Kluyveromyces lactis: one gene and its partners. The protein of the gene in region 2 purifies or fractionates together with the protein of the main gene of each other region. This does not show direct contact. Links are inferred from orthologs where the notes say so. Each region holds a gene or a part of one and is shown on either strand. Other genes may lie near its edges.

The links. Proteins that work in one complex are often made in the same cells at the same time.
Region 1: the proteins of POL1 (region 2) and PSF1 purify together in Saccharomyces cerevisiae (affinity purification with western blotting; 4 studies listed by BioGRID). This does not show direct contact. The link is inferred for Kluyveromyces lactis from reciprocal best matches to the Saccharomyces cerevisiae genes POL1 and PSF1.
Region 3: the proteins of POL1 (region 2) and CDC45 purify together in Saccharomyces cerevisiae (affinity purification with western blotting, with the first as the bait; 5 studies listed by BioGRID). This does not show direct contact. The link is inferred for Kluyveromyces lactis from reciprocal best matches to the Saccharomyces cerevisiae genes POL1 and CDC45.

What each region holds. Positions count from the first base shown.
Region 1 is NC_006038.1:615,453-618,918, forward strand, and holds PSF1 (DNA replication protein PSF1), read left to right. Parts: upstream 1-1,877; coding exon 1,878-2,513; downstream 2,514-3,466. Other genes in the region: RAD61 (Rad61p), read right to left, coding at 1-1,619; protein-arginine omega-N methyltransferase HMT1, read left to right, coding at 2,916-3,466. UniProt on the Saccharomyces cerevisiae protein: Required for DNA replication. Functions as part of the GINS complex which plays an essential role in the initiation of DNA replication by binding to DNA replication origins and facilitating the assembly of the DNA replication machinery.
Region 2 is NC_006039.1:1,127,530-1,134,225, forward strand, and holds the start of POL1 (DNA-directed DNA polymerase alpha catalytic subunit POL1), read left to right. Parts: upstream 1-2,799; coding exon 2,800-6,696. Other genes in the region: MET4 (Met4p), read left to right, coding at 1-1,339; SNAP receptor VAM3, read right to left, coding at 1,491-2,279. UniProt on the Saccharomyces cerevisiae protein: Catalytic component of DNA polymerase alpha, which in complex with DNA primase (DNA polymerase alpha:primase) constitutes a replicative polymerase. POL1 has a role in promoting telomere replication during interaction with CDC13.
Region 3 is NC_006042.1:1,834,062-1,838,919, reverse strand, and holds CDC45 (DNA replication initiation factor CDC45), read left to right. Parts: upstream 1-1,910; coding exon 1,911-3,905; downstream 3,906-4,858. Other genes in the region: tRNA splicing endonuclease subunit SEN2, read left to right, coding at 1-1,046; LCL2 (Lcl2p), read right to left, coding at 1,221-1,625; KLLA0_F19800g (uncharacterized protein), read left to right, coding at 4,222-4,776. UniProt on the Saccharomyces cerevisiae protein: Required for initiation of chromosomal DNA replication. Acts at the origin of replication. Also has a role in minichromosome maintenance.

The DNA.
Region 1 (3,466 bases), on a different chromosome or scaffold from region 2:
TTCCACTCGGTAGTATTGGTATGCAGTACAAATACTAATGCCAGTAATTGTTTTAGGAAGCTTTCGCTCTTTGACTGTCCGATCATGTCTTGTATTTGCTGAGTTATGGAATTTTCGATCTTGATTGTATCTTTTGCCACAATATTAAGCACCAAACCCAGTTGAAGAATTACAATGTCGTCAGTATCCTGCTCTGATTCTATCTTTTCTCTCACTTTAATGATGTATGAGAGACAAGCACGTACAATTTTTACCTTTTCCAATGGAGAAAGTAGACTCAGAAAAAATGCATGGTTAGTCAATTTTACCATAATTTTGATAGTGCAGATATCCTCAATATATGAGGATAAATAATATAACATCTTTGGGTATAAATTTGTCATCATCTCTTCTGTAATAAATTTATCTAAATGCTGTTCAACCAGAACAAATAACCTTGGCGTAGGATTATTCAATGACTCGATCAATTTACTGAATTCATTACTGTTTGGGTCTAGGTGAAACTCCCATAGTGTAAATGTGAGATCTTGGGGATTTGTTTCAGCCCGCTGAACAAAATCCGTGTAGTTTAATTTCGTAATCTTTGAACCCTCAATAAGTTTTGGATTTTCTGTAAGAGAGGAACAAGTCATTAGGAGAGGTGATAACTGTTGCCATTGAGGGGCACTTCGCGGCAGTGGTACTAAATTAGCAATCCAAAGTTGTAAATAACTCATGACATTGTTCTCAGGGTTAATTTGCTGCAAAAACCAGTTCCATACTTCATTGCTTTTATACTTTTGAGTATAACTTGTCAACTCTGTATTGTTGAGTAATAGTAAACAACAGCTAATCAGTTTTACGACAAATAACTTTTCATCACTAGTAGTGAATGGTAAGAAATCCAGATCATCTTCGAACTTAAGCCCTTCTCCGAGTGTTTTTAATTGATTAACGTGAATGACGGAATTGGAATCATTAAAAGAAGTATTGTGATGTTGAGCATCCAAAATACCTTCATTATTTTCATCATCCTCATCGACATTTGATGCTTCTTCTTGTAGCTCTTCATCACTTTGAAACTCTTTTTTCAATAATGTACGTGTTCTTCCGTATCTCACCTGGCTCACTGCTGAAGTGGAGACCACTTTAAGACATTGAATTTGGCTATAAGTCGATATTACATCGTCGGAGTCTTTCAATGACGAAATCATCGAGGAGATACTGTCAATTGTACTTTGAAACTCATGAATCTCAGAATCATTATCAACAGCTTCTTCAACATCTTTCATATCGTCATTGTCGACTGTTATTCGTTTATGAAGCCTTGTCACTTTACGTTTCTTCTTCATAGATGTCGACCCCATACCATCCAAAATATCGAATGGATCAGCTTCAATTGTCTTTGAATCACGGTTTTCAAATGACTCGTATTTATGAGAGGAAGACACATACTCTTCTCTGACAGGAGCCATGGGAGAAGTCTCATAAGTTCTATCTAAATCTGTTGATAAACTTGTTTCTTCCTCGTCAGTTGAAGTGAAATTGTCCTCATCGCTTAACTCATTGTCTTTTTTATTCAAATGTCGCCTCGCCAAGGCTTGAAATTTCCCATAGTGACCATAAACTCTCGTCTTCATTTATCAGAACCTCCCAATGGGCTTTGTTGGTTTGCTTCCCCTTGTTTTCTTTGTTGTAATTTGTTCGCGTCTAAACAGTATCGTTTCACGTTAAAGTCCTTAAATTTTACGTGTTTTCCTCAAAGCGATTTCAATCTAGAGAAGAGAAAAGCTATGAACAACTTTTACAGAGATAACACAGAGGGAAAAGAACGTGCTAAAAGACCTGGAACTGGATTCAAGTCATTGGTTTTGATTATCATTGCCATAGTACCGAAAATGTACGGAGATCTCGCTAACAAGTTGATACTAGAAGCAAAGAGAACGCAACAGTTATCTCAAGCTGGATTCAACAAACAGCAATTACCAGTATATCAAGACGAGCTAGTCCGTGGCATCCTGAAAGAGGTTGGATCCCTCAAGAAGAACGTGGATTACCTACGAGAACAGCAGCTTACTGATCAGGATAACAAAGTCGCTCAATGCCAGTACGTCGTTGCTATGCTTTCGATGGAAAGAAACAAAAGATGTCTATTAGCATACCAAAAGATGAGAAGTGAGATGCTAGACTCAATGGTTTGGGATAACAACGGGATGGAATTTTCTTCTGCCATATCAAACCACCCGAATCTATCATCGTTTGATTCCTCTGTTTTATCACATGCAGAACAAGAGTATCTCAAAGAGTATGCACAACTACTTACCGAATTGAAATCGGGAGAACTCTCAGAAATCGATTTGACTGGGATGTTACAACCGCCGAGCGATGTGTTCATCGACGTACGAGTATTGAAAGATGCAGGACAAATAGAAACAGAGTACGGTGTATTCAACCTGATTAAAGATTCCCAATTTTTCGTCAGACAATCCGACGTCGAAAGACTTATACAACAAGGATATCTGCAGAAGATATAGCAAGGCAGCTTTTTTCGCCGAATTCTGCACCTTTCATTGCAATTCTGTAGATATCATTGCTGGTGATATTGCTGATGCAACCGTTCCAAATGCAACTAACTAGCTTTACCTCACTTTCACTATGGGGAATGCACGATTTCTTTTTGGATTTCTTTTTCTTGCAGCTCATCGCCTTCAAAAATTTTTCAGTTTTGTATTTAAGGCAACGAGGCATAAGTAACAGAACAGTACTTGATCTGGAACCAACTTGTTAGAACGGTTATTGGTTTGATTGCATTGAGTATAGTGTACAGCTTATTGGGATATAATATTTGTCACCATACATATACCAAGACTTGTGTTTCATCTTTAGTCTAATTGTTGAGCATATCTTTCCTAATTGTAAAGCTAATAAAATAAAGGATGTCCAAGACTGATGTCACTGATTCTGCTACGCAGAAAAAAGAATTGAACGAGTATGAACAACACTATTTCACCTCTTATGACCATTTCGGTATTCATGAAGAGATGTTGCAAGATACTGTGCGTACGCTTTCGTACCGTAACGCTATAGCCCAAAATAAGGACTTCTTTAAAGGTAAGGTTGTCCTAGATGTTGGATGCGGTACTGGTATTCTATCTATGTTTGCTGCAAAGAACGGTGCTAAGCATGTCATTGGTGTTGATATGTCTAGTATTATTGAAATGGCTAAGCAAATTGTTGAATTGAATGGTCTTTCAGACAAGATCACTTTGTTACGTGGTAAATTGGAAGACGTTGTGTTGCCTTATAAGAAGGTTGATATCATTATTTCCGAATGGATGGGTTACTTCTTATTATACGAATCCATGTTGGATACCGTGTTGTATGCACGTGATAACTACTTGGTCGAAGGTGGGTTGATCTTCCCTGACAAGTGTTCCATTCACATTGCTGGTCTTGAAGATTCTAAGTATAAGGGCGAAAAGCTGAA
Region 2 (6,696 bases):
GAATTCTCCGATCCCCGATCATGGAGGATTTACACACTTTGATGTTCAAGACCAATCCAATAGTCATAATACAGGCAACCTAAATGGCACAAGTGCAAACCGCCAACGAGATATGCCGTTTGCCACTTCCCCACTAACAAATTTATTAGCCGCATATGATTTAACTTCAATGTCATATCCGTCCAATACCACTGTATCGTCTGCCTCTTCAATCGTCAACACAGCTAGTAACCATGGTAATAATCATGTCAATAGCAACGAAAATCCGTATCGTCCAAGTACGGCTGCAACATCAGGATTTGAATCAAATATACAGATGCCAGACTACTCTACAATACAAACTGCGACTTTGGTATCATTGTTGCCTATCATTAATGTTCCCAGAGGTGCTTACCAGTCTTTGCGTAATGTTGGCTTTAAACCAGAACAGATTGACGCCATAGCTGCTATTATGGCTTATTATGAAAGAGAAAGAGAAAAGTTTGATCCTCCTGTGAGGAAGCCAACTAATTTAAATAATCACTCTACAAATAGACCACCATCGTCAGCTTCCCATCTGGGCTCATCGATAGATGTGAATTCGCAAAATCAACTGGTTCCTGAACCTCAAGAACATATTCAAAGCTCCGTTGGCATGCTATTGGATTTTTTGCATGAAAAACCTGAGCCATCTCCTCAATCAAGTGTCCATAAACCTAATCCAAAAAGAGCCAAAAAAACTCCAGTGGAAAAAGAGTCTAGAGTTATTGATACATATATGAAAAACTCACCGAAAGTGCACCACGGCTCAATTTCTAACAACATAAAGAAAGAAAGCGAAGAGAATTCTGCAAAGCAAACACTGGATGATGGTATCAGTAAAACACCAAAATCAGTTGTCAGGAAACTAGAATCAGCTTCCTCTCTTAGGAAGGATGTAACGTCTGCTAAATTGAAGGAAGAGGTGAGACAATCGGAAGAACTTCTCAATGACAAGGAAAATGCTGCTAAGAGTCTCGATGAGAAGATAAACGAAAAAAAGCATAATACTGATTCTGATAAAAACAATTCCTCCAGTGATGGTGTAGAATCGTCGTCCACTTCCTCAACCCTTTCTTCAAGACCCAAACTGCCGAACTTGGATCAAACTAAAAAACTTAAAGAGAAAGAAATGGAAACTTGGGTCCAAGATCTTTCACAGTTAGCTTGTGACTTGAAGCAAAGAATCAATACCCTTGAAATGGAAAACAGACTTCTCAAAAATCTTGTCATTGAACGTGGAGATCTCAAGAATGTTGAGTCTTATGAACTATCCAAAAATAACTCCTCCGAAAGCACTAAAAAGGATACTGACAAGTAAGCTATGATTAATAATTAGTTGTAACCTCTAAGTCGGACATATTTACCTGATGATGCGTGTTCTCTAAAACGTAACGTAACTTTCATCCAAGTATAAGGCCAGAGATAAATTTTGTATTAATATATAGTTACATTCCTCGTAGAATCTAACCCTATGATAGAATCGCGATAAGAGTTATTAGAGTGATAACAACAATAGCTACTAGAAGTATTGTACCACATCTGTTCTTTTTCCTTTGATATTCATTTGCTTTGTGAAGTTCTTTGTTCGCCTTTTGCAAATTATTAGATAATCCTGTCACATTTTCGCCAATTGTGTCAACTTGTTCGCCCTGTTCCTGTACCAGACTTCCTAGTTGTTTGAAGATGGCATTGACCTCTTGCACAGCAGAGTGGATTTTTGATATGTCCTGGGATCTTTCATGTTGAATTATCGTGTGAAAATCTAACTCATCCTGATTCAACAAAGGCTCTTGCTGTTGGGTAGACAAAAGTAACGGAGTATCCTCTGAAGAATGATCCCTCCTCTCGATATCGTCTTGTATTGGCATGCTTTCATATTGCGATACGAGATGTTCCGATTCATTATCTTTACTCTCTTCGTCAGGTATGGGATTCTGTACTGCCCTATTCTCATAATCGGTCTTTACACTGTTATATTGTTTGCTTAACGCTTGAAAATCTCGAGCAAATTTATCTTGTGTATCTAGCGAAGTTAAGTCAGCCAGTTTTCGACTAATTTTCTGGATTTCGGGGATTACTCTATTTTTTATATCAACCCTCAATAGTTGTCCGTCCTTGCTTGTCCCTATTAGATGAGCTTTACGCTTGAGTAATTGAATATTCTGTTCTAGTGTTATCAACAAAGGCACCGCATCGTTTCCACTAGAATCTGCACGATTGTCCTCCTTTTTTGGAGTACTATTTTGATAAAAGGACATCAGATGTAACGCGATTATCTTTACGGGTCCTGCTATCAGCTGTTTCCTTAACAGTTATCCTTCCCTTCAGTTAATGATCACAAACCTCAATTTGAGCACTTTAAAATTGAGGACAGTCTTAAACCACAGGTCATGTGATCCATTTTTCTTTCCAAGCCAACGCCAATTGGTTCAACTAATGGAAATTCGTATCATAATATTGAGGAGCGCACACTCTCTAACACTTCAGCGGCTTCACCGTTTAACCACTCAAGTGTTGTCGGTATTCTACTGTCACTCAATCTTTCGCTCGCTTTTCTTCTCATGCACTCTCGCTTTGTCTCAGCGTTGGTGCCATTAAGTTCATAGATTTCGAACGCGTGCTTTGCAGATAGATACAACTTTAAAAAAAAAAAGAACGCGTAAAAGTAAGAACATCTTCATCATCTTCTTCTTGCAACTCAAACCAGGAAAGACAACAAAACTAAATTACTAGGGTAGTTCGTACTGCCACCCTACACTATTAAAACACTAGCTCGGGATGAGTAATGCGAACAAACTTGAACTGCTCAAAAAATTGCAGAAAGCTAGGAATAATAAATCGAATAGGGATGTGCTAGATGAACAACTGGAAGAAGAAAATGTGTATGACTTGATTGACGAGGATCAATATAGGAGTAAGAAAAGACAAGAGTTGTTAAGAGATGATTTTGTTGAAGATGATGATGGCAGTGGATATGTGGATCGTGGTGTAGATGAATGGGATCAAAGTCAGGAGTTCTACTCTGATGAAGACGATGGTGTTGATGCAAAGTCAGGCAAAAAGCGTAATAAGACCAGTAAGAATAACAAAGGTAAGGATACCATCAGCGATATCATAAAGCAACAAAATGTCAAGAGAAAAATGACAATGCCAACAGAAAAACCTAAGAAAGTGTCACTTGCTGAATTTGATGATATTTTGAGTGAATTTGACGCAGAGCCTCTGGTTAAGAAGCCGAAGCTAACGATATCCAGAAAACAACCTGCAAATACTACGCCTATGAACTATAAACACCCTCAGGTAGATACATCCCCACTTAAAGGTAAAGATGTTGTACCTTTTAAAGCTGATAGCGTTAATCCTATCGATTGTGATTCAATGGAAGAGGACCACGATATTGAATCATTATTAAACGATGTGGCTAGTTCTCCTTCAATGAGCAAGCAGAAGACATATCAAAGCGAAGATGACAGTGAAGATGACGAAGATGATATTCACTTTGGTAGAAAAAAATTCAAATCAATAGCTACTCAAAGGCAGATGAATATCAGCGCTCAAACAGCACCATTAACGTCTTCGCCAACATATGTCACTGCTCCTAACACCCCATTGTCAACTTCTACAGGGTCCACACAAGCAACAGAATCAATTTCCGGATCACTGAGACAAAGAATACCTAAAGAGGATGTAGTAGACGCTGAGACCGGTAGTTTTAACTTTTTTTGGACTGATTTTACCGAAGTCAACTCTTCTTTGATTCTCTTTGGTAAAGTTAAAACGAGAAAGAATCAAGTAGTCTCTGCAATGGCGCAAATCAATGGTTTCAATAGAGAGCTGTATTTTCTACCTAAGGAGGGTAAAACAGCGTCTGATGTCCACCAAGAAATTGTACCTCTATTATTGGATAAATATGGCTTACAATCACTTCGCGCTAAGCCTGAAACGAAAAAGTATGCCTTTGAACTTCCAGGAATACCACACGAAGCGGAGTATTTGAAGGTTTTGTTACCTTATGATACTCCTAAATGCAAGTCAATTACTATTCCCGCTGAACTTGAGGGAGATACATTCAGTCACGTCTTCGGTGGTAACCAAAACCTTTTTGAGAGTTTTGTTGTCCAAAGGAAAATCATGGGCCCTTGCTGGCTTAAGATATCAGATGGCGATTTTGATGCAGTTCAAGGCGCTTCGCATTGTGCTATTGAGGTTCAAATTGATTCACCTAATCATATCTCAGCAACGAATGAAAAATCATCTCCGAGCTTGAACTGTATATCATTGTCTATTCAGACCGTCATGAATGCAAAAGAAAACAAGCAGGAAATTGTTGCTATAAGTATGGCTGTCTTCAAAAATTTATCTCAAGATTCATCAATTCCACAAAATCTCAAACCAAATGAAATAGTGACACTAGTAAGGCCTCCACAAGGATCAACTTTTCCACCTCTTCTGGGACCTAAATCAAAGAAAGAATTATCCGGAAATGTGCGTCTCTTCAATAACGAAAAGACGTTATTAAACTGTTTCTGTGCTCTCTTGAAGGTAAATGATCCTGATGTTATAATAGGACATAGATTGGAAGGTGTCATCTTGGATGTTCTGGCACACAGAGCTTATGAGTTAAATATTCCTCAATTTAGTGTCTTTGGGAGAAGACTGCGGAAAGCATGGCCAGACAAGTTTGGAAAACATAATAATAGTATGACACAGTTCATAGTTAGGGATTTATTTGCAGGTAGGTTGTTATGTGACATTTCCAATGAAATGGGTCAGTCACTAACTCCAAAATGTCAAAATTGGGAACTAAACGAAATGTATCAAGTTTCCTGCGGTATTGAAAGAAAATCTCTCGAAATTAATTACCTAAACCCAATATATCAGGAAGATGAATCCCAGATGCTTCTAGCGCTAGGCGAAAACATCGAAAACTCCATTATAACAGCAGAAGTTGCATTCCGCATTCAAATTCTCTCTTTAACCAAACAACTGACTAATTTAGCAGGCAATGGATGGAGACAGACTTTGGGTGGTACAAGAGCTGGTAGAAATGAATATATTTTGCTTCATGAATTTAACAGAAATGATTACATTGTTCCTGATAAAGAAACAAGGCAAATGAAGCAAGACAGACAACAAAAGAATGAAGATCCTATGGAGCCACAAGTGTCCAGTAAAAAATCAAAATATCAGGGTGGGTTGGTCTTTGAACCAGAAAAAGGTTTGCATAAAAACTATATCTTGGTCATGGATTTCAATTCGTTGTACCCATCTATCATTCAAGAGTTTAATATTTGCTTCACTACTGTTGACAGGAATCCACAGGATAATGAAGAACTTCCAGATGTGCCTTCAAGAGAAAAATCACGAGGTGTACTGCCAAGATTATTGGCCAACCTGGTCCAAAGACGTAGAGAAGTGAAAAATCTAATGAAGACTGAAAATGACGCAAGTAAAAAAGCCCAATATGATATCAGGCAGCAAGCTTTGAAGCTTACGGCAAATTCTATGTATGGTTGTTTGGGTTATGTGAACAGTAGATTTTATGCTAAACCGTTAGCAATGTTAGTTACAAATAAGGGGAGAGAAATTCTCATGAACACAAGACAATTAGCGGAGAGTCTGGGTCTAACAGTTGTGTACGGTGATACCGATTCGGTCATGATCAGTACTGGCTGTGACAATTACATGGATGCAATCAAAATTGGTGAAAACTTTAAAAAGCTGGTGAATGAAAGATACAGTTTGCTTGAAATAGACATTGATAACATCTTCAAAAGGTTACTGTTGCATGCTAAGAAAAAGTATGCTGCATTGAATGTTACTTTTGACAAGCAAAACAATGAGAAAACTACTCTTGAAGTTAAGGGTTTAGATATGAAACGTCGTGAATTCTGTCCATTGTCAAAGGAAGTCTCAACTCGAGTGTTAAATATTCTTCTTTCTGATAAGGACTCGGAGAGTGCTTTACAGGAGATATACGCATATATGGAAGAAATACGTCAAAAAGTAGAGAACAACGAGATTAGAATGGACAAATACAAAATTAATACCAGGCTTTCTAAGGATCCTAAGTCATATCCTGGGGGTAAGAATATGCCAGCAGTTCAAGTTGCTTTAAGAATGAGAGAGGCAGGAAGGGTAGTTAAAGCTGGTTCTGTCATAACTTTTGTCATCACTAAAGGTAGCGATGATTCAGACCAGGATTCTGATCAGGCGAATGTGGCTGAGAGAGCTAGAGCATTAAACGAAGTAATGAATAAAAAAAACGGATTGAAACCAGATCCTGTGTATTATCTTGGAAAACAAATCTTTTCTCCAGTACAAAGATTGTTGGAAAGGATTGAGAGTTTTGACATAATTAGACTGAGTGAGGCGCTTGGTCTCGACAGTAGAAAATACATTAATCGCGGTGGAGCCAACGGAGAGCTAAATGGTAGGGGTATGGACACATTGCAACCATTGGAAACCACTATTTCAGATGAGGAGAGATTCAGAGACAGTGTTCCACTTGAGCTAACATGTCCGAATTGTGATACCAAATTTGTATACGGTGGTATTGTAGCATCCAAAGAGTATCGATTTGTCTACTCCGGTATCCAATGTTCCAACTGTAATCACATAATGACCCCAATACAAGTCACTTCACAATTAGAAAGAATCATAAGGGCCCATATT
Region 3 (4,858 bases), on a different chromosome or scaffold from region 2:
TGTCGAAGCGATCTCATAGAAATCAGCTGCAATACAAACATGCGTTGCCTATAGAGGCGCAGCCTGTACCGTCTGTATGGAAACATCCCTTTCAGGCATTTTCCTGGATATTAGATTGGGCGATGAGATGGAGTGAAACCAGAATTATTGACGTCAAGATCAACCAATTAGGTCAAATTTTGGTATGTGATCAATGGCAGATGAAGTATTTATGGGAACACGGATTCTTTGGTACTGGTCAACTATCTCGGAGTGAACCCAACTGGCAGGCAAGAACAATGTCTCGATTGCAACTAAATGATGCTGATCGAATCAACTTAGAGCATGTTACAGACGTTAGAAGAAGGCAGCGGCTCGAATTCAAGAAACTGAGAGCTGAATTTGAAGCCAAGAAGTTAGAAATGAGACAAAAGGGGATTGTAGACGAACAATTCATTGAACAAGAAAGGTTATTCTTAAAGAATCAAAGAGATAAAGAATTAGCTTTTGAAAAGGACTCGATGCAAATACGTGACGAAGATTTAAGATTAATAGAAGGCAAATCAGTGATTCAACTAGAAAGCTTGCAATTGATGCCCGTCGAGGCTATTTTCCTCTCTTATGCAGTGCCGGTATTGAAGATCACATTGCAACAATTAATGGTTTCGTTGGTACTGGAACCGAAAAGTTTCCAAGACATCAAGAAATTAATTCATCAATATGTCGCGTACCATCATTACAGGTCCAAAGGGTGGTGTGTACGATCGGGGATAAAATTTGGTTGCGAATACTTATTATACAGAAGAGGACCCCCTTTCCAACATGCGGAGTATGGAATCATGGTTTTGGATGCAAACCAGTCAAATGATTACACTTGGTATTCAAGCGCTGCCAGAGTCGTGGGCGGAGCCAAGAAACAGTTTGTATTATGCTACGTTGAACAACTCATACCTGAAGATGACTTAATGGAACTTTGGAAGCAATCAAAGTACGATGAGCTTTTCAGAAACTTTAAAATCCATGAATTGTTATACAAAAGATGGGTTGCAGGTAAGAACAGAGATTAACTGTTCCGAACCGGTAACGATCTTTTCCGCGAAGAACTCAAACGAGTAAAAATAAACCCATGCTAGTTAATTGCATTAAATACAGTAATGGTCTGTATTATATGTCTCTATATATATTATCAGTTTATGTTTGTAATAGTATTATGGCCGATACAGAAAGAAAGATCTCTCATTCTAAATCTTGCCGTCATATACATCCAAGATCCATCCACAATCTCTGAATCCCTCAGTACGTTGAGCTGGTCCCATTACTGGATCATCATAAATCTCTACCAGTGTTGGATCATGTGTTGCTGGCTTTGAGATGCAAATTACCTGACCGTTGGGTAGATTGCATTTCAATTGTGAATTAGGGAACGGACACGCACAATCCGACTTCTGTCTCACACAATCCAATGTCTGTGGACATAAATAATGCGGACAGTCATTATCTAGGAACATTTGCTGGTAAGAGCCAACATCCCGCTGTTGCTGCTGTTGCTGCTGTTGCTGTCTATTCTGGTGACCTGAATCGAAAAAGAATCCAGACACAGCTTGTAAAAAGAATGCTGAACCAATTATTGTTCCCAGTAGTTTCATAGTAAGTTAAGATCTTCGTATTTCGTAATACTGCAATATGAAATATCAGATAGCAGTGTTTAGTACCTATAGTCTTGTAAATCTTGGCATCTCTTCGAATATTTCGAATATTTCGCATGTATGCCATTTATGACAAGTAATCGATTTTCCAAAAATCTTTAAACGTGTAAGTATTCCAAACCAATATTTTAAAGAAATTTATGTAAATACATGAGATGACTAGCTCACGAGGGAAAAGAGACTGCAAACAAAACCACTGCAGGCCATCAAAGTGCCAGGTAGAGGATGTATATTGGCATTGCTGAATTTGTGGGTGCTTATGATAAAATTCTTCACCGATGCAGTTCTCATTCTTCATGTCAGTTGGTGATTTTTGTTTCGTGTTTAAACATTGACGCGTTATGTGCATCGAAGATGCTATCCAGTCTATTCAAGAAGCAATTGGTACAATCACAGTTAGTTCCCGTGTTTGGTTATTCGGAATTGAAGGATCACTATCAGAGACTGGACGAAAATATCAATAGCGTTATATTTGTAGGTTGTGGAGGGATGGTAGATCTTGAATCTTTTTTAGAGATTGATCCACAAGAAAACACGCAGGGTCCATTAGATGAGATTCAATTAGATAAGACTGACGTTGTTCAGAAATTTAAGAAGGAGATATTTGTGCTTGATTGTCATAGACCGTGGAATTTGGATAATTTATTTGGTTCACAGTGCATAACCTGTTTCGATGATGGAACAGTCGAAGAGTCTTTGACAGAGCAAAAGAAAGCATACTACAAACTTATAGAGATAGAGAACGAACTTGGCGATGAATTGGACGATGACAGTGATAGCGAGGAAGAGGAAGATGACAGGGAAACGCAAAATGAGGATAAAGACGACGATGACGATGACGATGACGATGACGATGACGTAGTATTGGGTAAAAGGTCCAGCGATGAATTGAATCCAAAAAAATCACATAAACAACGAAAGCGAGAGTTTCACAACTTAGAAAAAGTGTTACAGGAGTACTATTCACAGGGATCAACGGTGCTGAACTCCCTTTCAGTTCAGATATATTCTCTTTTGTCTGGTATTGGTGAGACAAATCTAGATTATTTATGGTTATGCATTCTAGGAGTGTCCTCTTTGGATAATTCCTTCCCGTTGGTATACAATCGACTATTACCACTTCTGAAAGATGAAGTAAAAAGATTGACACCTAGTGAAAAAACTAAAACGCCAGATTCTTTGAATCTTGAGATTCGTCCCGATTACAGTTTATTCCTTCTGAGGCATACATCCTTATATGATAGTTTTTATTATTCTAACTACGTCAACGCCAAACTGTCACTGTGGAATGAAAATGGCAAGAAAAGACTGCATAAAATGTTTGCACGCATGGGTATTCCGCTGAGTGTTACACAGGAAAACTGGATATATATGGACAATAATTTCAAGAGAGATCTGGGCGTACTTTTCGATAAAAATCTCGATAGATACGGGTTACAAGATATTGTACGAGATGGGTTCTTGAGAACTTTCGGTTACCGAGGATCAATAAGTGCCAGTGAATTTGTCGAATCGATAACCGCTTTACTTGAAGTTGGCAATGCTTCAAACGCACTAGAAAATTTGACAACAGCTAATGTATCTCAAAAAGATGATACGAACCAAGGTGATGAAGAGAATAGGGAGTACGAAGAAGCTGAAGAGCAAAAAATTAACAGAATACTGAAGACAAGGCAAAAAAAATGGATTGCAAATTTTTGGTCAAGTTGGGATGTATTGGACAATAATATGGATATTTTATCTCAGGGGATTAAGCATGCAACATTTTTACAAAGAAGTGTATTTGAAACTGGAGTCGCTATTCTGGAGAAAAGATTAGTGAAACATTTAAGGATTTACAGGCTATGTGTTTTACAAGATGGACCAGATTTGCATTTATATAGAAATCCATTAACGTTATTGAGGCTGGGATCATGGCTCATTGAATACTATGCAGAAAATGACGAAAAACAGTTACTTCCACTGGTATTGGCAACTTTAGATGAGACTTCTGACACATATCTTTGTGCAGGGATTGCGCCAAGGTACCCAAGAGGGTTGGACATTTTACAACAACAACAGCAGAAAACTTTAAATAATTTCACAGTGGCATTTCAACAAATAGCAGCTGAGACAGGTGCCAAAGTAAGGATTGACAATTTCGAGACATCAATTATTGAAATCAGGAAAGACGATCTACAACCATTCCTTGAACGTTTGACATTAAGCGGATTGATTTAGCACGAAGACACAAACATATTAATTTAGGCATATCATGAGGTGAGCTTTCGGCTTTAAATCTAATATATATATATATATTATGTAACAATCTAATCAGATACCTCGAAATTGACACTACTATGGGATGTCCAAGCTGTTTGAAATCTGTTAGGTTTACCATTGATATCACGTGATCATTAAACCAATGCCACAAATGTCAGTCAAAGGTAAGCATTCTAAAATACCCACAATAATTTGTCATAATTATAGGCAAAATGTTGCCAAGAACCAGCCTTCAACCCCTCAACTGTAGCTGTTCAGGCTCTTAAGTTAATACATGGAGCACAACATAGATCTTCCGCGTCTGCCACCCTGGAAAAGCCCGCAGTTCCGCAGGATCAAACATGTCAAACACTCAACAGATGAGGATTTCAACGTTGGGATGGGCACATCGGCAAATGTATTCAGCGACTCTTCGCTCTACACTCCGTTGAATTACAAGAATGAACGCAATAGAAACAGGGATATGAATGGGAAACAAAGGGCACCAGGGATATCTGAAAACACTCTCAGTTTCAAATACGATCCGTCACCTTTCATACTCCATGATAATATACTAAACAAGACAAAAGTGGATCAATTGCAACAACAAGAGGTTGCCATGAGAAGACTTTTTGATAAAGATAGAGCAATACCTGAATCCAGGCTCAATGTACCGTATTACCAAACGCTATGGAGAGAACAGCTAGATTTAATGGATGATGACATGCCAGAAACAAGTCCGAAATTCGATTACTCGAACTCATCTCAAGATCTATACAAACAGCTCCGGCAGTTCCAAACAGCATTTGTCCAAAATGAGGCGTGGAAGTACGAGGAAAACACTGAATAGCTGGCTAGTAGTATTAACTCCTGTGACTATTTCATCCCTCACAGCTCACAAGATTATTCCACAGTGCGGAATATCCCAATAT